3 linked regions of the Rhinolophus ferrumequinum genome follow. The protein of the gene in region 3 interacts with the protein of the main gene of each other region in a pairwise test. Links are inferred from orthologs where the notes say so. Each region holds a gene or a part of one and is shown on either strand. Other genes may lie near its edges.

Evidence for each region.
Region 1: the proteins of PCBD1 (region 3) and HNF1A interact in binary tests that used the Homo sapiens proteins (3 or more experiments, as listed by UniProt). The link is inferred for Rhinolophus ferrumequinum from reciprocal best matches to the Homo sapiens genes PCBD1 and HNF1A.
Region 2: the proteins of PCBD1 (region 3) and trefoil factor 3 interact in binary tests that used the Homo sapiens proteins (3 or more experiments, as listed by UniProt). The two-hybrid records come from large-scale screens. The link is inferred for Rhinolophus ferrumequinum from reciprocal best matches to the Homo sapiens genes PCBD1 and TFF3.

The regions. Positions count from the first base shown.
Region 1 is NC_046308.1:13,561,988-13,569,063, reverse strand, and holds the start of HNF1A (hepatocyte nuclear factor 1-alpha), read right to left. Parts: upstream 3,003-7,076; 5' UTR 2,771-3,002; coding exon 2,445-2,770; intron 1-2,444. UniProt on the Homo sapiens protein: Transcriptional activator that regulates the tissue specific expression of multiple genes, especially in pancreatic islet cells and in liver. Binds to the inverted palindrome 5'-GTTAATNATTAAC-3'.
Region 2 is NC_046285.1:106,268,623-106,276,316, reverse strand, and holds trefoil factor 3, read left to right. Parts: upstream 1-4,692; 5' UTR 4,693-4,704; coding exon 4,705-4,786; intron 4,787-6,138; coding exon 6,139-6,285; intron 6,286-7,371; coding exon 7,372-7,385; 3' UTR 7,386-7,571; downstream 7,572-7,694. UniProt on the Homo sapiens protein: Involved in the maintenance and repair of the intestinal mucosa. Promotes the mobility of epithelial cells in healing processes (motogen).
Region 3 is NC_046299.1:48,901,778-48,909,165, reverse strand, and holds the start of PCBD1 (pterin-4-alpha-carbinolamine dehydratase), read left to right. Parts: upstream 1-4,381; 5' UTR 4,382-4,396; coding exon 4,397-4,552; intron 4,553-7,359; coding exon 7,360-7,388. UniProt on the Homo sapiens protein: Involved in tetrahydrobiopterin biosynthesis. Seems to both prevent the formation of 7-pterins and accelerate the formation of quinonoid-BH2. Coactivator for HNF1A-dependent transcription.

The DNA.
Region 1 (7,076 bases), on a different chromosome or scaffold from region 3:
ATGCAAAGGCTCTGAGGTGGGACTCAGCAAAGTCTGTGTAACGGGAGGAAAGGGAGGGAGGGTGAGAGGTCCCTCAGAGGACAGGGAACTGGGCCAGGGAGTTTGGATTTGATTCATTGTCCAGGTAGGGAAACGGAGGCAGGAGGCAGAGAAGAGACTGGCCCAAGGTCACACAGTGAATTAAAGGAAGAGCTCAGGGCCGTGCTGTAGCCTCAGGCACAGGGCGCCTGGGGAGATCTGGGACCCAGGACCCACGCTGCCTCTTCCAAGACACTGTCTTCTGCAGACAGATGGAAGTCCTGCCTCTGCACCCTCCTTCTGCGCTTCAAACTCCCCCACTGCCCCGGGCCGACATCAGGGGTCCCGAGCCCCTCTCCTTCCTGTTCCCTGGGACTATAGGTCCCACTTTTTTCCCTCAGGGCGGTTTCTGATCCCTTTTGTTACCTGAACAATAAGTAACCCAGGTAGTTAGTTATAAACTCCGCAGGAACAAGGAGCTGGTTGATAATTTATAGCAACATCTCAAATTTAAATGGAAAGTAAATAGCATGCTGTTAGCATTAAAGAAAACCCAATCGGGGCAGGCGGGAGCACTCCAGCCTCCTCTCAGCTTGGGGTGCCTCTCTCTCTCCCCAGCCCCTTCTCCCCGCTGGGTGTGAGCCCCTCTTTCCTCCCACTCCTCTTCTCAATTCTGCTTCTCCAAGCCTCTATCCGTCTGCCCCACGCCCTCTCTCCTCCTCCCTGTCTCCCCTTTCTCCCTCAGCTTCCAGGCCTCTGCTGGTCCCTAGAGAGCACTTTAACCTCTGCTCTCACCCTCAAGTGCTGTGGATCAAGCCTCCCCCCACCCACCATCCCACCAAAGGGGCTGCTGATCAAGAGGCCCCACCCAGCCAGGTAAGAAAGGCCCTTGGCACCCCCTGTCCCCCTGTCCCATTTGAAAGCCCCCATTCCCATCTGGGGTCCTGAGCAGGTCTGGCCCAGCCCCACCCTGTCCCAGGTGCCCTCGCCCTGGGTCTGCCATGCCTGACTCTTTGCCCCTCCCCTGCAACATAGCAGGGCCCTTTGCCCTCCTCTTCCTGCCAAGTCAGGGGGCCTGTCTGCTCCCCTGCCCCTTGCCCAGGCCCTCACAAGGCCAGGCAGACTCAGAGAACTCCCTGAGGCAGGGATCCAGCCCTCCCCCACCCCAAGCTGGGGTCGGGACCTTGAACAGAAAAGAGAAGGTCCCTCTGGAGAGCGTCTTTGGAACTCTTCCTCAGACCCCGCCCCAGTGACTGTCAGCCGACCCCTGGCCCCCAGTCATGGGGATTGAGAGCACCAAACTGAGTGGGTGTGGAGTCCCAGCCGAGTGGCCTTAGTCAAGCTACTTCCCCTCTCTGGGCCTCAGTTTCCTCATCTGCGGAGCAGAGTTTCCATAGCTTCCTCCCAGGATTCATCTCCACATTATCCAAAATTATACGTACATGCAAACCCTCAGCACAGCACCCAGCTTAGGAAAGAGGTTAAAGGGGCGTTGGGAAGGGGGTCCTCACAGCCCCCAGACTTCCCTTTCCCCACCTCCGCTCCTGCACTTCTCCATCCCCCACCCCCGCTGGGTGGGAGGTTCATTGGCTCAGGCCTCCCCAGGCCACCATCCCTATAAGTTAATGATCACAGGCCTTATCAGAGCCTTTTGCCATTTATAAATTTATAAAACAAAAGAGAAATAATAAAGCCCATGGGTAATTAGTAACCAGGTTAGCTCTGCTGAGGAGAGGGGAGGCATCAGACTCAGACCCACCCAGTTCTCCGAGAGATGGGGAGCCAGCCCCTGGATGGGGGTACACAACGAGAGGCCTCTAATAGCGCCTGCTGGTGAGACAGGAGAGCCTGAGGTTGTGCTAGAAAGGAGAGCAGCTCCCGTTCTGAGGCTCCATCTCCCTCAGGTAAGAAAGACCTGGCTGAATGCTTGAGTCCCCGGGTGGCCAGGGGAGCCTCCAAAACCTCGGCCTTGCCCGCCCCCCCCCACCTCCCCCGCCATGCTCCCTGGCCCCCAAGCCTGTAATCTGAGCACTTAGCTGGGAAGTAGGGTCTGGAGTGTAGAACTGGCCATGGCTAAAAATTCCCACCACCCTCTCGTTCTCCAGGCACTTGAATTGTAAAGTCTCCTGCTTTTTTCCCATCTTGGAGCTCCCCTGGGGAATGGGGCCACTTCCCAAGCACTGGGCTGAAAGCCTTGGCTCATGGGGTCTCAGGACTCTGTGGAGGGCCAGGTGGGGGGAGAGGGGGCTTGGAGACCAGCCTCCGAGTAAACATCCCCCCTGAGCTCTCATGGGCCCTGTCCCCCTTCCCGACAACTGGGCTAAAGGCCCAGCTCACGGAACTCTGGCCTCAGCAGGGCTAGTCAGGGGCTGAGGGTGGGCCCTTCTGGGCTCCTTAGAGCTGGAGACAGGGAAGGGGGTGCTTACTGCAGCAGGCTCTCCACCACGGCTTTCTGGTGGGCCGCCTCCTCGGGGCTGAGGTTCTCCAGCTCCTTGAGGATGGGTGGCGTGAAGTCTTCCCCATCGTCGTCCGTCTCCTCCTCGGAGCCCCTCGTCTCCCCCAGCCCATTGGGCAGCTCGGCCAGCTCCCCTCGACCGCTGCCACAGGACTCCCCCTTGTCCAGGGGGCCATCTCCAGCCAGCAGGTAGGGCCCCGGCTCACCCAATGCCTGGATCAGTGCCTCTTTGCTCAGGCCCGACTCGAGCAGGGCTCCTAGGAGCTCCATCTGCAGCTGGCTCAGTTTAGAAACCATGGCTCCACTACCACGGGGCCACGCGGCCCGGGGCCACCAAGCGGGCCGCCTCCCCCACCGCGTGGACTGTCTACTTGCCAGCCAGTCAGCAGGCAGGTACAAACCAGGCTGCTTGCACCTATAGTCCCCCCCAAACCCCACTAGTCTAGCCCTGTGGGCACCCCCAACCCCCAACCCTGGCCCCGGCGGCCAGTGAATCAGGGCCCCTGCCCGCTCTGTTTACATTGGAGCTGGGGAAATTCTCCAAGGTTCATATTTATCCGTGTGCTTAGCGAAGGGACTGAACTTTGGACTTCAGCCCTGCAAAGTGCAGGCCTCATGGCAGCACAGAGGGACGGCGAGCCACGGCCTTCAATGGGAGTGGGCAGAGCGGAGGGTGGGGGAGGCGGTGGTGGGGGGCCCAGGGCAGCTGGGATGGAAGGTGCCGGGAGCCAAGGAGGACTTCGGGTGAGCAGCATCAGGTCCCACCCCCAAGGACCTTGTAGGGGGGCCAGGCTGAGGCAGGAGAGCAAAAACAGCAGGTTTCCCTTGGGAACAGAAGCAGCAGGGAGTTGTAGGCAAGTGGGCCAGCTCTCCTCAAGGGCAAGGTCATATTCATTTGGGGACCTGCCCCCTCAGGCCTGACACCAGGCCTGCCTGTAGGAAAAGCTGTTAACTGAGGTCTACAGTGTGCCAAGGTCTGTAACAATGAGAAGGTAGGTACAGGAATTATCCCCATTCTATAGAGGAGGAAACTGAGGCTCGAGGCTCCAACAGGGTACGCAACTTGCCCAAAGTCACACAGCTAACCAGGGACAAGACTTTCAGGGTGGAAATAAGGTGAGGTCTGTGAGGCAGTTGACTCAGGCGCATATTTGAAAGGGGTGCCAAAAAACTCAGTAAACAAAAAAAATCACATTTCTATACAATATATTTAAACATCAAAATGGATGCAAAACCCAAAAGAACGAAATACATGTGCACACAGAAACTCGCATGTGAATGTCTGTAGTAGCAGCGTTATCCACACTAGCGATGATGTGGAAACAACATGCCTCAGTGGATGAATGGGTAAATAAAATGTGGTCTGTCGATGCAGCGGTGTATTATTTGACCAGAAAACAGAACAAAGTGCTGTACAACATGGATGAACCACTGAAGACACTATACTAGCGAAAGAAGCCAGACACAAAAGGTTGCATATTATGAGTCCATTTATATGAAGTGTCCATCCATAACAGGCAAATCCACAGAGACGGAAAGTAGACTGGCAGTTGAGGGTCGGGGGGTGGGAGGGGCAGGGAACAGGGAGCCGCTGTTTAGTGAGTAAGGGGTTTCTTTGGGGATGATGGAAATGTTCTAAAATTGATTGAGTGATATTACACAACTCTGACTATACAAAAAACCACTGAGTTCTGAACTTGAAAAGGGTAAATATTTTTAAATGGTGAATTTTATGATATAGGAATCCATGAATGTATTTTTAAATTAATGCCAAAACATCTGTGATGAACAAAGTAGCAAAATTTTTTTAAAAAATGTTCTCACCCTCATTCACCTCCCCCTAATCCCAGCTCTGGGCAAGAGCTGGTCCTCGCAGCTCACCCACCTCTTCTCTCTTCTAGTCAGAGTCTTGACAAAATTCCTGCGGTGTGTTGCCTGGGTTGGCCCCAGAATAAGGGGTCTACCCAGGAGTAGGCGGGGTGGTACTGAGGGGCTGCCCTTCAGGCGGGAGCATTTCCAGAGGGTCTGCATCTCTCAGGGGTCTGCAGAACCTGGGTCATGCTTGGGAGAAGGTGCCATTGGCCACAAAACCCTCCCTGCAACTAGGCCAGGCCAACAGAGAGGGAATGGGACAGGTCAACAATAACAATAGAACTTTCTCCCCTCTATTTGGCTCACATCCACCTTCTTGGTCTGTCCACCCCCATACCTGGTGCTCCAGTCCCCCTTACCCTGAATTGCGTCTTCATTTTTGCACTCACTTACCTTCTAACATGTTGGCCAACTGCACTGCCCAACACCATAGCCACTAGCTACTCGTGGCTACTGAGCACTTGAAACGTGGCTAATGCCACTGGTTGAAATGACAATGGTTTGATATGTTGGGTGAAAATTTTAAAACAACATTTTTTAAGAAAATGTATTAAAAATTAGAAAAATTATTTTTGCCTGTTTCTGTTTGCTTTTGTAATGATACTACCAGAAAGTTTTAAATTACCTATGTGGCTCCTATTTCTATCAGACAGCACTGCTCTGTAGTTTACTTATGTATTCTGTTCATTATGTACGGTCTGTCTTCCTCTGCTAGAATGTAAGCCCCCTGAAGACAGGGCTTTTGTTTGTCTCATTCACTGTTATATCCCCAGTGTCTAGAATGGTGCCTCGTACATACATAGTAGGTGCTCGATAAATACTTGTTGAATGATTAGCTACATTTCAGCGCACATTGACCGTGTATACCTAGCTGTACGCTAAGCTTTAGTAATGTATTAAATTCTCAGACCGACTCTAGGAAGTAGGTACTGTTATTATTCCCCCAGAAGAGGGAACAGTCTCAGAGGGGTTAAATCGCGAGCCCAGAGTTCCCCAGAGCCAGATAGACAGACTGTGAAGGAGGACGTTTGCAGTTGCCCCTTGGGAAAGTGGGACCCCCACCTTTCCTCCAATGCCTTCTTTTCCCTCCAGTGCAAGTAGCTTTGGGGTCAGGTATCTCACTGCTGGGGAAGCGGGGGTGGGGGGATGGGTAGAATTCTCAAGTCCAAGCTATAGGACAGGGAGGATGCTGTGTGCTGTCCCTTGGTGGTTTCGTGGTTCTCCGGCTGCTAGCTCCTGCCAGGAGGCTGCTTGGGGGCTGCTGCTGCCCCTCCGCGACTTTTCACCTAGAAGGGCGAGAAGGGTAGGGCCTGGATCCTTTGAACAACTTTTGAACCCATTAACTTCTGGGTCCCCCTGCAGCCAGGTGGCTGGGTTGGTGAAGTGACTCTGGGACTGAAGGTGGACTTGGTTGGGACGGGGACCTGTCGGTTGTGGGTGGAGGTAGAGCCTCCAGGAGTCCCAGGGGAGGGGCTCCCACAGGGCCCAACTTCAGCTCCCAGTACACACAGAGGCTATTGTCTTGGGCCCCTGAGTAGGGAGGACCCTGTGATAAATGAGAAGGGACATCAGGAAACTGACCCTGCCTCTTCCAGGATGAGGCACGACCAACAGAAAGCTGGTCCCAGCCCGCAGCCTGCCCTTTCCCACCATCAGGGGACAAATCGGAATTGACTGGAGGTGGGAAGTGGCAATTTGCCTTCTTGAGAATCACACACGACCTCGTTTGAATTTCACTGTCCCCATACCCCCCACCCCCACACTGGGCCGCCTCAGGCAAGTGAGTTAGTTTTTCTTGACTCATCTATAAAATAGAGGTATGGATCTCCTAAATTAGCTTAAGACAACTCTTTGTGAAGTTGTAAAGATCATAAAGCAGAGATCCCAGACTTTCTCAATTCAAGGTGCCTTTCATGACTCAGTAATTTTTTCATGGCACAGCCCACCCCCACAAAAAATACTAACAGTTATATTTAGTAAGTAGTTAGGGCAAAACAACTAAGTATTTATGTCCTAACAACTAAGTAGCCCCTTTAAAAATGCACATAAATTGAAAGAAAAAATAATATTTTGGTTCCTTCTTAAATAATCACACACAAATGGGATGAGTGGCCTTGTTGGGCCCTAAACAGCTGCTCAGACCTTGGAATTAGATTGCATGTCACGTCACCACCTTCATTTCCTGTTCCACACTCATTTTTGCATGATACTTGCTTTTGATCAGAACAACTGCCATAAACCCAGCCTCACAAAGGTATGATACCATCCAAGGAATGGAGCTCCGCCTTACAAACCGTGAACGACCTTGAGTTGGTAGTTTGTAAGGTGGCCGGCAGATGTCACTGTGTTCCTTTCAAAACTCCCGGCGCAGAGTTTGGGGGAACTTGCGGACCTAATAGATCGTGGTGGACACAGTAAGTAGTATTCAGTAAACGGTAGCTGTGAAGCTTTACCACCATTCCCTCCTACTTGGAGAGCCGATGTCCGCAAAGCCAAAGTTCAGGCAAGGCATAAGACTTCTCTTTGACCTCCCGAGGTGGCACAAAATGGGTGCCTTGTGAACCAATCTCAGAGCTCTTTTGGAATTCACTTACCCCCACCCCAAGGCCTATCTGTATTCAAACTCCTATTCTTCCTCCTAGCCCCACTACCCTTTCTCGTGATTTCCTGACGGTGTCTTGTCAATCCAATTAGATTGTAAACTTTGCAAGAGCAGGGAGAATCCTGACTT
Region 2 (7,694 bases), on a different chromosome or scaffold from region 3:
AGGTGGGCCTCGTCCCGCTGGCCTGGGATCATGCCTGTCAAGTCTGCAGTCTCGGCGTAATCATTGCTATCACCTGGACACTCTGAAGTGCCCCTGTTTGGACAACTCCTTACACGGTCACCTCCCCGTGGGGCCTCCCCGGGTGTGGGCTGCCACGTGCCTGGGCCTCCTGGACCAGAGCCTGGCTGGGCCCTGACCAGGAAGTGACAGTTTTGCATTTCCCACAAGAATTGTTGCCGTAGCCTCCCGAGACAAGGAACTTGGAAGAAAAGACCAGGTGGGGATTACTGGGGTGACGTGTGGGAGCATGGGAAGGGATTCAACAAACATGAGGTGACGGACTAGCCAGGGAGTCACAGAGAGCGACCATCAGATGGGCACCGAGAGGGCAGGGGACAGGTGTGGGATCACAGGCCTGCAGTCAGTAGTGCAGACAGGGTCCTGGGGAGGGGGCACCGGGCACTGGGCAGAGCCGCCCCCTCACAGGGGAGCTGGGTCAGGGTGCGAAAGGGGAGGGTCCCCGTGAGAAACCTGTCAAGATCATCAACCATGCCCTTCTCCTCCTCTCACCGACAAAGTACAAGTTAAACAGACGCTCAGAGCCGATGTCCCTCCCTCAGTGTATTGGTTTCCTGCCACCACAAAAAGCCACAAACTGGTGGTGTAAACAACAGGAATCTGCTCTCCCACGTTTCTGGAGAAAAGTGTGAGGTCAAGGTGTTGGTCTCATCAGGGCCGGGCTCCCCCTGCGGGAATCAAGGGAGGGGCCTCCCTGCCTCTTCCAGGCTGTGGTGGCCGCCTCAGTCCAGGGCGTCCTGGCTCTCAGCTGCACCTCTCCAGTCTGTGCCTCGGCTGTCACATGCATCGCCCTGCGTGTCTGCATTCACATCGGCTTCCTCCTGTGTCTGTTTCTGCATCTCTTCCCCTCTTATAAGGATGCCACTCAAGCTGGATTTAGGACCTACCCTACTGCAGTGTGACCTCATCTTAGCTTAAACAATTACACCTATTCCCAGAAAGCCACGCTCCGAGGTTCCAGGAAGGACGTGAATTTGGGGAGGACACGATTCTACCCAGCACACTTGGCAGTCACTTAGTGACAATGGTTTGTTTCACAGGGAAGAAATCTGAAACCCAAGAGAGGTCGGGAGCTTGCCCAACTCGGGCTGGTGGGAGGACCGGGCTCCCTGGGGTCTCCTGCTGCTGCCCGGGCCTTTCAGGGACCATGTTCGCCCTCCTTCTAGGACATACTCAGCACAGGGCCCTGGCAGATGTGACTCGACGCCTTCCAGGTCCTCCCCTCGGTGGCTGTGAGACCTCGCTTCCTGCTGGAGCAGGGCCAGCTGCTCGGGTCTGGGTCCGGGAGGTGGGGCTGCCAATGACGGGCAGGTCTCCTCAGATACATCTGCTCCCCGGCTACCAGCTCTGTTTATTTCTGACTTATCTCTTCCTCTGGTGCCCTGGTCATCAGCCCGGTCATTCCTGGGGAGGTTTCCTTGTGATAGCACCTGGGCCGATGCAACAGCTCGAAAGCCAAAGCTGTGGAATCAGTGGTCACTGAGGCTGGAACCACCCCAAGGACACCTTGAGCCAGACAGCAGTTTCCCCTATGTGCTCAGGGGCTGTCACATACCCCCACCATCTGTGGTAGGATGAGAGGCATCCGAGGGCCCTCTCACTGGGACCCTGTCCCCCTCCCCTCCGCTGCACAGTTGCTGGGTGACACATTTGCAGGGTCTAACGCCCTCCCTGTTTGTCCTCAGTGGAAGCCACGCCAAAAGCCAGGAGGCTCCCCGAATCGATCCACTAGGATGGCTGCTCACATCCTGAAGCTTCGACGGGAGGAAACTGAGAACACAGAGGGAGCGGCCCGCCCCCAGGCAGCTGCAGAACGTGGTGACAGCTGGTCAGCAGGCGGCCCCGGGAGGTGTGGGACCCCAGGGCCCACCCAGGGATGCTGATGAGCATGACCTTGTACCTTCTTCTTCCACCTGGCTCTCTGCTGGCTTCAGTAACCAAGAGTGACCAGATTAGACGCCGAGAGGTGACACGTCCTAACGCTGTGTAGGACACCATATTTTCTGAGGGGTGGTGCGTTAGTACTACCTGTCTGGAACCCCCTCTGACCCTCACCCACCTGTGAACGCCTACCCATCCCTCAAGACCCAGTCAGGTTTCATCCTGATGAGAAGCCAGCTGTGCAGCATTCTGCCAGGTCTAATCGCATTGCATCACAAGTCACGCTTCAAGGCTTGTTCTTCCTCACAGGGCTGTGGGCTCTGAGGTCCGCAGCTCTGCCTGGTGTCCGTAGGGCCCAGCTCTCAGGCCAAGTGCCTGGCCCGTGATCCACTCTCGGTCCATGCTTGCTACACACATGTACCAATGGCCAGGCCATGCATCCTGCACCTCAGTCTCAGAGCCAGACCGCCTGCTACTTGGGCCCGTCCAGGTGGCCCTTACCTTCCCTGGGACAGCTGCACACCAAGCCCAGGGTGTGTGGTGTTTGTAGGGGGAGGGGGAGTTCCCTGGCTCAATGGATAGTAACGGAGTTTCACTGAAAGCAAAACACCAGCGGTGGCTCTGGGCGCGGATGCTCAGTGGGCTTCAGTCTCTGGATTACCTGCTTGGGGGCAGGGCCCTGGTATCCACATGGTTCTAGCCGGTGGAGACCAGGACACTCAAAGATGTTGCTTGTCAGAGCAGCCTTCGAATAACTGCCCCTTCTAGGCCCGTTTCTGAGGTGTTTGCACTTTCTGGAACGCGGCCCACGTCCACAGCCTGGCCAGGCCCAAGGGTGTTATGGGTGGGTAGGCAGAAGGTCTGGCTGGAAACAGCTCCCAGGAGTTTCTCCAGGAGGATCTTTTTCATAGCATAAAAATGGTGCCCTCTTTTAGCTTGGGTGCACTCCCTCCCTCTGGGAACAGAGCAAACGCCCTGAAAACAATGTAGGAATGGCTCTTCTCGTCTTCCCGCCTGCATTTGCCTTGGAGAAGGTGGGAGACCAGTGGCAGGCATTGCCCAAATCAGGTCATCGATGGCTCACTGAGTATAAGGGGCTGGGCCTGTGTGGGGACAGAGCCAGGAGTGCAGTTTCCAGGCTCTCGGCCTCACGTGGAAAGGTGCTGGCTCAGGTAGTAAATGGCCGTCAACTGTGACTGGATGGCCATCAGCTGTGGCTAGTTGGCCGTCAGCTGTAACCAGTGAGCCATTGGCCACTAATATAACTGCTGTGGCTAGGCTAGCAGAAAATGGGGGCTAGCAAGGAGATGGTGGCTGAGCCTGCAAGCGGAGCAGTAAGGGTTGAGAATTGTGTGGCTCCTGGTTCCTGTGTCTCCAACCCAGCCGCCAGCGAGACTATAGTGGTGTGACTCCCCTATCTATGGCTCCGTGGGTGTTCCTTTTTGGCCTCACCATGTCCTGCGTTCTTATGTGGGGAGCGGGAGCTGAGACCCCGCATGATACCCTGCATGACAGCCTGGAGAGTCCCACTGTGGGACACGGTCCTTGTCCCCAATGCGTGCACAGTCTGGCCCCATCGGTCACTCAATAAAGGACCATTCTGTGGGCAAACTTTTGGGTGCTCAGATCCCCCCAACCGGGAGGACTAAGTTCAACTATCCAGCTGCACCTGCTGCTGGGATGGCATGCAAAACCCACCTGAGGCTCCTGGAAAAGTCACTGGGTAACACTGGCAGCACCTGACAGGATGCCCCAGGCAGAAAAGAACTATGGAGACACCACAGTAACTAGAACACCATACGCTCTCTCCTGCACGGGAAGGGGGGAGGCTGTGAACAAGAGCCGAGATTGCAGGGCCCTACAGAGGGGGGCTGACCCCAGCTCCACATGGCCTTCTAGAGCAACCTCTGATGGCCACCTTAACTTCTGTGCCTTAGTTTTTTCCTCTGGAAAATGGGTATAACGATTCTCATGTCATTTAGATATGCTGTTATAAAACAATTTTCCAGATTTGCCTTCATTTAAAAAAAAAGCAAGCTGGGCATAGGTGTATGGTAAGTTCCCATTTGTGTTAAAAACGTGCTTAGATCTAGAGAACGTTCTGGAAAAATACTCAAGACCGTATCAAACACGGACACCACTAGACAGGAGGGCATCTTTAGCATTGTCTGATTTTCAAAACAATTGCACGTATTGTATTTTTATTACAATGTATTGAATACGTTTACTGACTACACTTATGGAAATGTAGTTCATGATAAAAATATTTTTTGCTGGATAAAAAGCAAAAAGGAAAGGACAGGAATGTGCCTTCCAGGAGTTGTGAGAGAACAATGAAATTGCACCTGACTCTTCAAGAACTCAGGGCTGATCTGGGAGTAAGTGGCGTGGGGACTCAAGTCATTGACTAGGGTAGCTTCTGGATTGCTCCTGGCAGGCTGAGCCTTGACCATCCCCCCAGGCCATGCAGACGGGGGCTGACACAGCCCTGCTCCCGGACAGAGGAGTGTCAACCCCAGCGTCACCAGTGGGGTCAGCACCACCCTCTCCCCTTCACGGAGGTGAGCCTGTGGGGCTTTCCCATCAAGCCCAGGGAACAGCAGGCGGGGCTAGAGCCAGAGGCAAAGCCTGTCCCCAGACAAACAGACTCCGGAATACCTGTGCAAACACAGGCGTATAAATGAGACTTCTTGGCAGAGGTGGCACATCCACTGAGTGGCCGGCTCACACAGCGCGCCCGTCACCATGGAGGCCAGACTGCCCTGGCTGCTGACAGTGGTCCTGGCCTTGGTGTTCTCCAGCTCGTCCGGGGAGTATGTGGGCCTGTGTGAGTACCTCTCTGACTTCTCTTCCCTCCACAGCAGGAAGGATGGGGTGGGGGCGGCTGGTGGCAGGGTGGGAACGCAGCACCAAGGGAAGGGGCACGGGAGACCCAGGCTTGGAGCTTTCTGTGGACTTGAGGAAGGCAATGGAGCCCCCACGTTAATTGAATAATTGCCATTTACCAGACACACACGTTTTCCCTCGACAGCCCTAGATATGGGTTTTGTTGTCCTCATTTTAGACAAGGAAACAGGCGCAGAAAGTTAATAACTGGCCTAAGGCAATCCTGCCCGTCAGCACTGAAAGCAGGATTCGAACCCAGGCCTGCCTGGCTGGCAGCCAGCCCCCAGACCACCATCCCGTCACCTGCTTTGCTAGACTTACGAATCACAACACAGGCCTTTATGCTTTGTGTTGACGCAATCACAAAACAAAAGGGAAGACAAATGACAAGGATTCCTTCCAGAACAATTCTGAAATTGTTTAGCCCTTGCAGTGTAACTCCAGGCAGGAGATGTGACCGTTTCATTATCCCAGCTTTGAAGAAACGAGGGTGTGGCTTTTATCAGCTCACCTCTGTAGCCGTGTCAAAGGCAGCGTTCCCAGACTTGGCACCTCCCGATTCACCTGGAGCCCAGGATGCTCCAATTACACGTCTCTGGGTGGGAGCGGGGGTGGGCATCAGTCGTAGTGAGAGGTCCCCCGTGGGTCCCAATGTGAGCAAAGTTTGGGAACCATGGGAGTGAGGACTTACACACTGGCAGCAATAGAAGAGGATTTAAGAGACTTCGTGTGATTTCTATTTTCCTAAGGAAAAGTTAGGTGATGAGGCAAAGGGGACATACTAACCTTAGACGTACAGGTTTGCTTGAAAAACGAACATTGAAGACTGGAGGATGTAAGGGAAGGTGTGACAAGCCAAACAATTTGGGGACAGGGAGGTGCAGGAAAGAAGTGAAAAACTCAGCGTGCATTGTGGTTTTCTCTATTGGATGTATATCTTCTGTTACACTTTTCATTTAAAAAGAAAGGGTGGGAGGGATTTTCGTTGATAAAACAGTAAAAGGGAACTTTGTTTCTGGGTTCAAGGGACCTGGTCCATGGCTTCTGCCCGCTGAAGGGAGCCTAGGCCCATGCTGACTTCCTGAGGTGCTAAGAGCACCCGGGCAGATGACCAGACTTCCTACAGAACATTTCTCTTTAAATATTTACACGGAAAAAGCATCCTCCTCGAGCCAATGTGGGTGGGGGGTCACATATTTGGGACTCGGGATGGGGGTGCAAACTTGCAAACTGAAGCCAGCAGACCAACCCCAAGTAGCGCCCTGGCAGCTGACTGGGCTTTGTCTGGCACAGCGGAGAACCAGTGTGCCGTCCCGGCCAAGGACAGGGTGGACTGCGGCTATCCCCAGGTCACCGCTGAGCAGTGCAATAGCAGGGGCTGCTGCTTCGACTCCAGCATCCCCGGGGTACCCTGGTGCTTCAAGCCACTGGAGAAGTCAGGTAAGCCAGCCCCACAGGCACCAGGCCCTTTGTGGGCCTGCGATGGCTCCTCCGGGTCCCCCTGGGCCCTGGGCCATGCTGTCCGTTGGTGGACGCCTCAGTCAGAGGCTTCGTGTCCAGGGCAGTCAGCTGCCAGTGGCTGTCCCCGGCTGTCCTGTTGCCGAGCGGTTTGTGCAAAATGTAAAAGCAATCGTTTCCAAAAAGTATTCAAAGTCAAGGTATTATGTAGAAAGAACTAGTTTAAAATTATCTTGGAGTACGTGTGGAAAGCTGGGCCGACTTTCCAGGAGGTATTCAGCAAACCAGCCAGCCACCATTATCTGTGACATGCAGATAGCAGACGGGTGGCAGCACCAGGCCTGCAGCCCTGGTGTCTCTCCGTACCCTGCCACCTTCCCCCCACCCCGCCTCACCACGAAGCACCCCTCCTGCTCCCTCCCTGGGTGGTGCAGTGGGGTGCAGGACAACCACCGGGGAGCCCCACGTCAGCAACAGATGGCGTGCACACGGGTGGCTGCTGTCTGGGCCCTGCCGGCCCCACCCCACACATCCTGGGCGTGGAGGTCACCATAAGCCACCTGGCAGCCCAAGTGCCAGCTCACCTCTGAGGAGGACATAGCTACGTTAGGCGCCTTCCTGGAGTCAGCACCCTGGGGGCCGCTCTTGCCCTTTGTCCCAGGATAATGAGGAAGGGGCTGCCCCCCAGCTGGTCAGTAACGGGGTCCCTGCCCACTGCCCAGGGAGGACCTCCTCCCCATTGCCAGCAGATCCGGGCAGAGGTCTAGATAAGGTTTTGGGACCAGGAGGCAGAGCTACCCATTGTCCCTTTGCTGGGTGTCCTTATTCTATCTATTCCTCAGCCTGGGGTGACACCTTCTTTTCTGGACATGGGGTGTCCCCTGGGGCTTGGCAGGACATGTGGCTGTTCTCCCACAGGGTGGGGGACTCAACACGTCCCCAGTGACTTGGGGGAGAATGCAGCCTAAGGCGCTGAACTTGGGTTCTGTCTTGACCTTGAGAAGCTGGGTGTCGGGTGGGTGGAGACCAGACCTGCTCACGGTAATGCATCCTGTGCTTTGTTTCCAGAATGTACATTTTGAAGCCACGCCCACTGCCCCTGGACACCCTGGGAGGTGAACGTCCACATCCAGGCACTCTGCCCGCTCATCTCTGCCTTTCTATCACCCTGCTCCTGGCAAGGCTTCATCTGAAAGTTGATGTCTGGGGCCTGATGTCTTAAAGAATAAAGATCCATGCTCAGCACAAGGCCAGGTGTTCATTCCTGAGACTTTATGTTGTTGTGTTTTATTTCTGCCAAGTTGCTCTCACTCCCTTCTCAACAATTCACAGGTGGGGGATGGCAAGGGGTGTCATAGCATCTCTGACAGAGGGTCTGTCCCAGCCTCGTG
Region 3 (7,388 bases):
GAAGGCACTTTTTCTAAGAGCAGCCAGCCTCATCCACATTGCACTCTTTCTTGGAAAACTATCAGAGTCTGACAGACCCAGGGCAGGCAGCAATTGGCCTCAATGTGCTCTTAGACTTTTTTTTTTAATGATTACAATACAGTATATTTTTTTAAATTGAGGAACAGTGTGTTTTTCCAGGACCCATCAGCTCCAAGTCAAGTCGTTATTTTCAATCTAGTTGTGGAGGGCGTAGCTCACTGGCACATGTGGGAATCGAACAGGTGACCTGGGTGTTATGAGCACTGCACTCTAACCAACTGAGCCAATTAGCCACCCTGCTCTGAGACTTTTGCTGAGAAGCTTCAGGTTAAGTACTGGCACCAAACCAGAATTTACACTAACCTGGTGACCACAACTCTTTCCACTCTTGTGAGTCCTTGAGACCCTGCCTCTCCCAAACCTGATTACCGCTTGAGGCTTTGTCAGTGGCTGAACCTTAAAGGAGCTGGCAGGTGGCAGCAGGCTCAGGGTGTCCCGACATTTTGTGGAGCTACCCCAGGCCTGGTAATGGTAGCAGACATCCTTGGTTCGAAGCATGACCTCTCCCATGCATCTCCAGGGTTAGCACAGGCAGCAAAAAACCACAGATCTCTTTGTAGCTCTTACCAAGTAGTCCTTAGCTGGTCACAGGCAGTAGATGATCTGGGCCTACACTGGAGCCCCTCACAAGAGGCCCCAGAACCAACATATTTGGAGGTTGGCTTCAGACCACAGCAGAACACCACCCATTTAATCCCACAAGTGGCACACCCAAAGGGTGGTCTCACCAGGTATCAGAGCCCACTGGGGTGAATCCCACTTAGTGGGGTAAACCTACCCCCACCCACAGCAGCTGCGGACATGGCAAAACTTCACAGCCAATCAGCCTGAGGGTCAATCCCAACCACTGGCATGCCAATAGCAACCAAACATCAACTATAACAGGAGAGCACACACAACCCACACAAGGGACCCTCTTGGAGCATCTGGTACAGGTGACCAGGGAGACTGTGCCACTGGGCCCCACAGGACACGTACTACACAAGGCCACCTGGCCAAGACTGGGGGACATAGCAGATCTACCTAACACATAGAAACAAACAAAGAGAGGCAGCCAAACTGAGGAAACAAAGAAACACATCCCAAATGAAAGAGTAGGAGAAAAATCCAGAGAAAGACCTAAACAAAATGGAGACAAGCAGCCTACCAGATACAGAGTTCAAAACAATGGTTATAACGATGCTCAAGGAACTTAGTGAGAACTTCAACAAACAGATTGCAAGCATAAAAAAAGACATAGAAACCATAAAAAAAGAACCAGTCAGAAGTGAAAAATACAATAACTGAAATGAAGAATGCACTAGAAGGAATCACCAGCCGACTAGATGAAGCAGAGGACTGAATCAATGATTTGGAAGACAAGGTAGCACAAAACACCCAATTGGAACAGCAAAAAGAATCCAAAAAAAATCAAGCAAAACAACAATTGCATATTATGGGTACCAGAAGAAGAGCTAAAGCAAGGAATTGAGAACATATCTGAAGAAATAATGACTGAAAACTTTCCTAACCTGGCGAAGAAAATGGACATACAAGTCCAGGAAGCGCAGAGAGTCCCAAACAAGATGAACCCGAACAGGGCCACACCAAGGTACATTATAATTAGAATGACAAAGGTTAAAGAAAAAGAGAGAATCCTAAAAGCAGGAAGAGAAAGTCAACTAGAGACTTATGAGACTGTCAGCTGATTTCTCCATAGAAACTCTGCAGGCCAGAAGGGACAGGCACAAAACATTCAATGTGATGAAAAGCAAGGACCTACAACCAAGATTACTCTACCCAGCAAACCTATCATTTAGAATCAAAGGACACATAAAGAGCTTCCCAGAAAAGAAAAAGCTAAAGGAGTTCATCATCATCAAACCAGTGTTACAAGGAATATTAGAGGGACTTCAAGATGCAAAAAACAAAGATAAAAATTATGAATAATAAAAATGGCACTAGCTACATATTTATCAACAATTACTTTCAATGTAAATGTATTCAATGTTCCACTCAAAAGACACAGGAGGGCTGAATGGATAAGAAAACAAGAGCCTTATATATGCTGCCTACAAGAGACTCACTTCAGGTTGAAAGACACACATAGACTGAAACTGAAAAGATGGAAAAAGATATTCATGAAAATGGAAATGAAAAAAACAAAACAAAGTAAGCTGGGGTAGCAGCAATACTTATATCAGACAAAATAGGCTTTAAAACAAAGGCTATAAGAAGAGACAAAGAAGGACCCAGTAATCCCACTTCAGGGTATTTATCTGAAGAAACCCAAAACGCTACTTCGAGGAGATGTGTGCATCCATATGTTCATTGCAGCATTGTTTACAATAGCCAAGATGCGGAGGCAGCCTGGGTGTCCGTCAATGGATGAATGGGTAAAGAGCAGGTGGTACATATATACAAGGGAATATTGCTCGGCCATGGAAGGGAATGGGTTCTTGCCATCTGCGGCGACATGGATGGACCTGGAGGGTATTGTGCTGAGTGGAGTGTCAGACAGACGCAATGAGATTTCACAGTATGTGGAATCTAAAGTGCAAAATAAACAAACAGAAACAAACTCATGGATACAGAAAACATTTTGATAGTTGCCAGATGGGAAGAGGGTTGGGGGTGTGGGTGAAAAAGGGGAAGGGATTAAAAAGTACCAATTGGTTGTTAAAGAGTAGTTATGGGGATGTAGGGTATAGCATAAGGAATATAGTCAATAACATTGTAGTAACTATGTATGGTGTCAGATGGCTACTAGATTTGTTGGGGTGATAGAAGGGAGTGGGGTTGGGGACAGGGTGAAAACGTAAAGGGATTAAAAGGTACAAACTGGTAGTTACAAAATAGTCATGGGATGTAAAGTAAAGCATAGGAAATATAGTCAATAGTATGATAATACATAGTACAGTGCTAGGTGGGTACTAGTCAGGGGGATCACTTCTTAAATTACACAAATGTCTGACCACCATGCTTTACACCTGAAATTAATATAAAATAATATTGAATGTCAACTGTAATTCCAAAACTAAAAAAGGGGGGGAAAGGTGAAGGGGAATAAGTGTTCCATATTTCCAGGTATAAAACAAACAAGTCACAGGGATGTAACATACAGCATAAGGAATATAGTCAGCAATATTGTGATCGTGTGGTACAGTGTCAGATGGTTGTTGGACTTACCATAGTGATCACTTCTTTAGGTATGTAAATGTTGAATAACTATGGTGTAGACCTGAAACTAACATGACGTTGTATGTTAGCTATATTTTAATACAAATCTTAAAAGAATAAAAAGTAAAATAAATAAGAAAACACTAGATTTTTAAAAAATGGACAGGAAATTTGAACAGGCAATTTACCAAAGATTTACCAATGGCAAATAGTAAGCACATGAAAAGGTGTTTAATATCATCAATGATTAAGGAAATTCAAATTAAAACTACAATGAGATACCACTACACACCAATGAAAACGGCTAAAATTAAAAAGACCGACCCTACCAAGTATTGGTGTGTCTGTGAGAGTGGTGGGAACTGGAACTCCCACCCAAGGCTGGTGCGGATGTACAATGGTATGACCGCTTTGGCAGTTTCCTAAGAAGTTAGAAACACACATCTACCATGTGACCTAGCCCAGCTACTCCTAGGTATTTATATACCCAAGAAAAATGAAAGCATCATCTATCCATGCAAAGACTTGTACGGGAAGTTCATAGCAGCGTAAAAACTGGCAACCACCCAAAGTCCATTAACAAGTGAATAAACAAATTGTGATGTGTATTATATCCAATACAATGTAATACTATCAAATAAGTTTTACTTAGCCATGGAAGAACCATTGCCACATGCACCTACCTGGGTCAACCTCAAAAAGTAATTATGCTGAGTGAAAGAAACCACAGCAAAGAGTACGTACTATGCGATTTCTATTCACATAGAATTCTAGAAAATGCAATCTAATCTATGGCAATGGGAGGCAGATCAATGGTTGTCTGAGGAGGCAGATAGATGGAAACTTTAGGGGTGAGGGATAGTTCATGATCTTGATGGTGGTAATGGTTGCAGGGGGGCATACATATGTCAAAATGCATCAGATTGTACACTTTAAAATGTGCAGTTTATTGAAGATCAATAATACCTCAATAGGTGTTTTTAAAACAGATAATCTCGCGCCCAGGGTCACACAGCTGGAACACACAGAGCACGATTCACACAGAGCACGATTCAAACGCGTCTGCATTTGGATCCCGCGTACTTAACCCGAGCTCCCCATAACAAGGGCACCGAAGAAAGTGCTGGAAGGGAACAGAGTCCTAGCGCCCAAGTTAATGATTACAGGCGGCAGCCCCTCCCCGGCTGCGCTCCCCGCCCCGGGGCGGCCCGAGCGCGGCCCCGCCCGACGGCCGCCCAGAGCACCCAGCGCCGAGCTCGCCTTCTCCGCCGCCACCTGCTGCTCGCCCGCGCCCGCACCGCGCCCCGACATGGTGAGGGGGGATCGCGCTGCGCGATCGCGGCAGAGCCGTTACGAACGGGCGCACAGTGGGGCCCCAGGAGAGGAAGGGGGCAATGTGGGGTTCAGGCCAGGCCGGCTGCAAGGGCAGGGCTGGGTAGGGTGAAGTGGGAGGGACAGGGAGGGTTCTTCCGAGCCCCTCTCAGACTACCGCGCGTGGGATTCGGAGAATCGGGGTCTCCGCCCCGCTCCCACCCCAGGTTGTGCCCCAGGAGAAGCTGAGGCCGGGAGAGGGCGGTGGCAAGGCCAGGTAACAGCCAGGCTTGCCCCTGGCTCCCAGGCCCTCGCCCCCTCCGCGCCACAATAATTTGGGCGGGGCTTAGTGAACTCCCTATGGGAAGATGGGGCGGTGGGACCAGGGCCTGGGGTGGTGAGGGACAGCATAGTGAGCCCGCAGATAATGACCCCTCGGTGGTACGGTTCTGTTCTGTATTGAGGGTGGGGGGTCAACCTGTGTGGGTGTGCGCGCGCGTGGGAGTGAATCTGTGTGTTGTCTGTGTGCCTGTTTATCGCATTTCTGGGCACCGGCTGGCTAAGCCCTCTGTGCACCCTGTGCTGTCCCCGGCCTCTGAGCCAGCTCCTGGCGCCTAGTTTGAGGCCTGCACCCAGCAGTGGGGACGTGATTGCTCAGGATCAGCCGTCCCTCAGGCTAAGCTGCCCCTTAAGAGGGTCTCAGGCCCTGTGCTTCAACACCCCACACCCCTGCCCTCAGCCAGAGAGGTGAAGGTGAGCCCTGGGGGCAGCTAGGGGAGGTAGGCTAGACCCAGGGAAGCTAGACCCAGGGAAGCTTGACCTAACAGCCCAAAAGCATTAGGAGCAGTCCAGACTGCAGTGCTATCTGGGAAGGCATTTTGAGGGCTATAGCTTAGTGGGAGAAGAGGTGGTGAGTGAGGCTGACAGGTGCCCTGAGGCCCCGAGATGCAGGGCGTAGGTAATCAGTAACCTCTCCATGCACTCCCCCAGAGATCAAGGCCAGGCAGGCCTGACCTGTGATTTACTAAGTAAACACCACCCCTGCCCTCTCTCTGATCCTAGATCTCAGAGGGGCTTGTCAGTTCATCCCCAGGCTGAGAGACCTGGGGGGTTCCAGAAGATTCTAAAGAGAAAGAGTGGCCTCCCAGGAGCTCACCAGTACCCACCCACTCCTTTCCAAACCAAAGAACTAAACAGTGGGTTCTGATGCCTTGGCTGACATCTGGTCATCTGGTTGCCTGGATACGTAGAGCAGGCTTATCAGCCACTGAGAAAAGGCCAGCTCTGGAGTGGAGATGGAGTTGGGCATGTGACACAGGTCTCTATTGACATCTCTAGCCTTCGAGAGCTTAGGAGAGGAGACAGACCAAGTCAGATCTTCCAGAGAGAACACACGTTGTCAGGAAGGAGAAAAAGATTGACTTGTCAGAATGTGCAATGCTTTTCCAATTCTACCCAAACCTGCAAGGCCCATATGCCTACTTGTCCCAGGAAGTCTCCTTTTAAAAATGCAGATAACATTCCCTTACTGGTGTCCCGTGAGCTCCTCTTGCTGATGCGAAGTGGAAATTCTTATCCCCTTTTACCATGAAGCCAAGGGAGACAGGTGCCCTGGGCCACCTGGCTGGAGCATGGCAGAACTGGGTTTGAACCAGCCCTGCCCACTCCACCCATGGCTCCCAGTCTGTGGGCTGCCTCACAAAAGCCAAATTAACCTCCCTCTCGTCGTCTCCCCAGACCTCGATTCGTCTTCAGTGGAGCACTCCAGTTTCTGTCCGTGGGGAGTTCTATTTCAGGAGCCTCATTCTGGGATCCCTTAAGTTCCTACACTTGGATCCTCCCAGAGGATGGGACTGACTTTTGCTTCCTTCTGTTCTCTGATGGTTCCTCTTATGGCCTGAATGGTGCCAATTTGGACTACCCCGAGGGCACTTTGCACAATAGGTAAAAATATAGATGGGGCACTAGTTTGCCAGTCACCTTTGGCCAAGTTACTTCCACTTTTAACAGAGCTCTGTGGCTTGGGCTTCCCAGGCTGACAGGAAAGGTGGAAGTCTGAGAACCCTAAGTCTGGCATCTGGGAACCAGAGGCTGCATGGGAGCACCGTGGCGTACCCACCGGGAGGTAGTGCCAGGGCCTGTCAACTGCAGTGTGGCTAAGAGTCAACTGGACCGTGTTTTAAGTGCTGGGTGCTTGGCTGGTCCCAGCGAGGAGGCACGGACCCACTTCGAGAACTATGCCTGTGCTCTCAGTGACGACGGGGGGGAGCAGTGGTCACTCCCACCCGCAACCCCCCCGCCCCGCTTCAGCTCACTTCAATACACCTGACCGTGAGTGGCGTGGGGGCACAGGAGTGGACTGCGTAAGGTCCGTAACAGGAAAGGAAGGTTGGGCAGTTGGGGTACTCTTTCTGAAAGGTTGTGCTTTCATACATGCACAGCTGGGCTTGGTTTTACTTTTATTGCATTCATGTAAGAGAACTAGCTTTTGGGGAGAGGGGGCTCTGTAAGGCTTTGGGGGCAGCGGTGGGGGAGGACGGCTTCTCAGTCCCGACGAGGTGCATTACACCTCGGGATTTTGTTCTTTTGAGTGGAATGTAAAATCTCAGCACCTATCAGTGCATGAGCCAGGGCAGGGCGCCACCCTCCACACCTCCCAGTCTAGAGCTTTGGGCCAGCTGCCCTTTGACTGTCACCCAGTCCAGAGGAGCCAGTGGCAGCTGGCTCAATTCCCCGAAAGGTCTGGGGACCTCTTTTTTGTCCTGTACTAAGAAGTGCCCTTGGGCTTCTGTTTTTTCCCTCTCCCAGGCTGGCAAAGCACACAGGCTAAGTGCTGA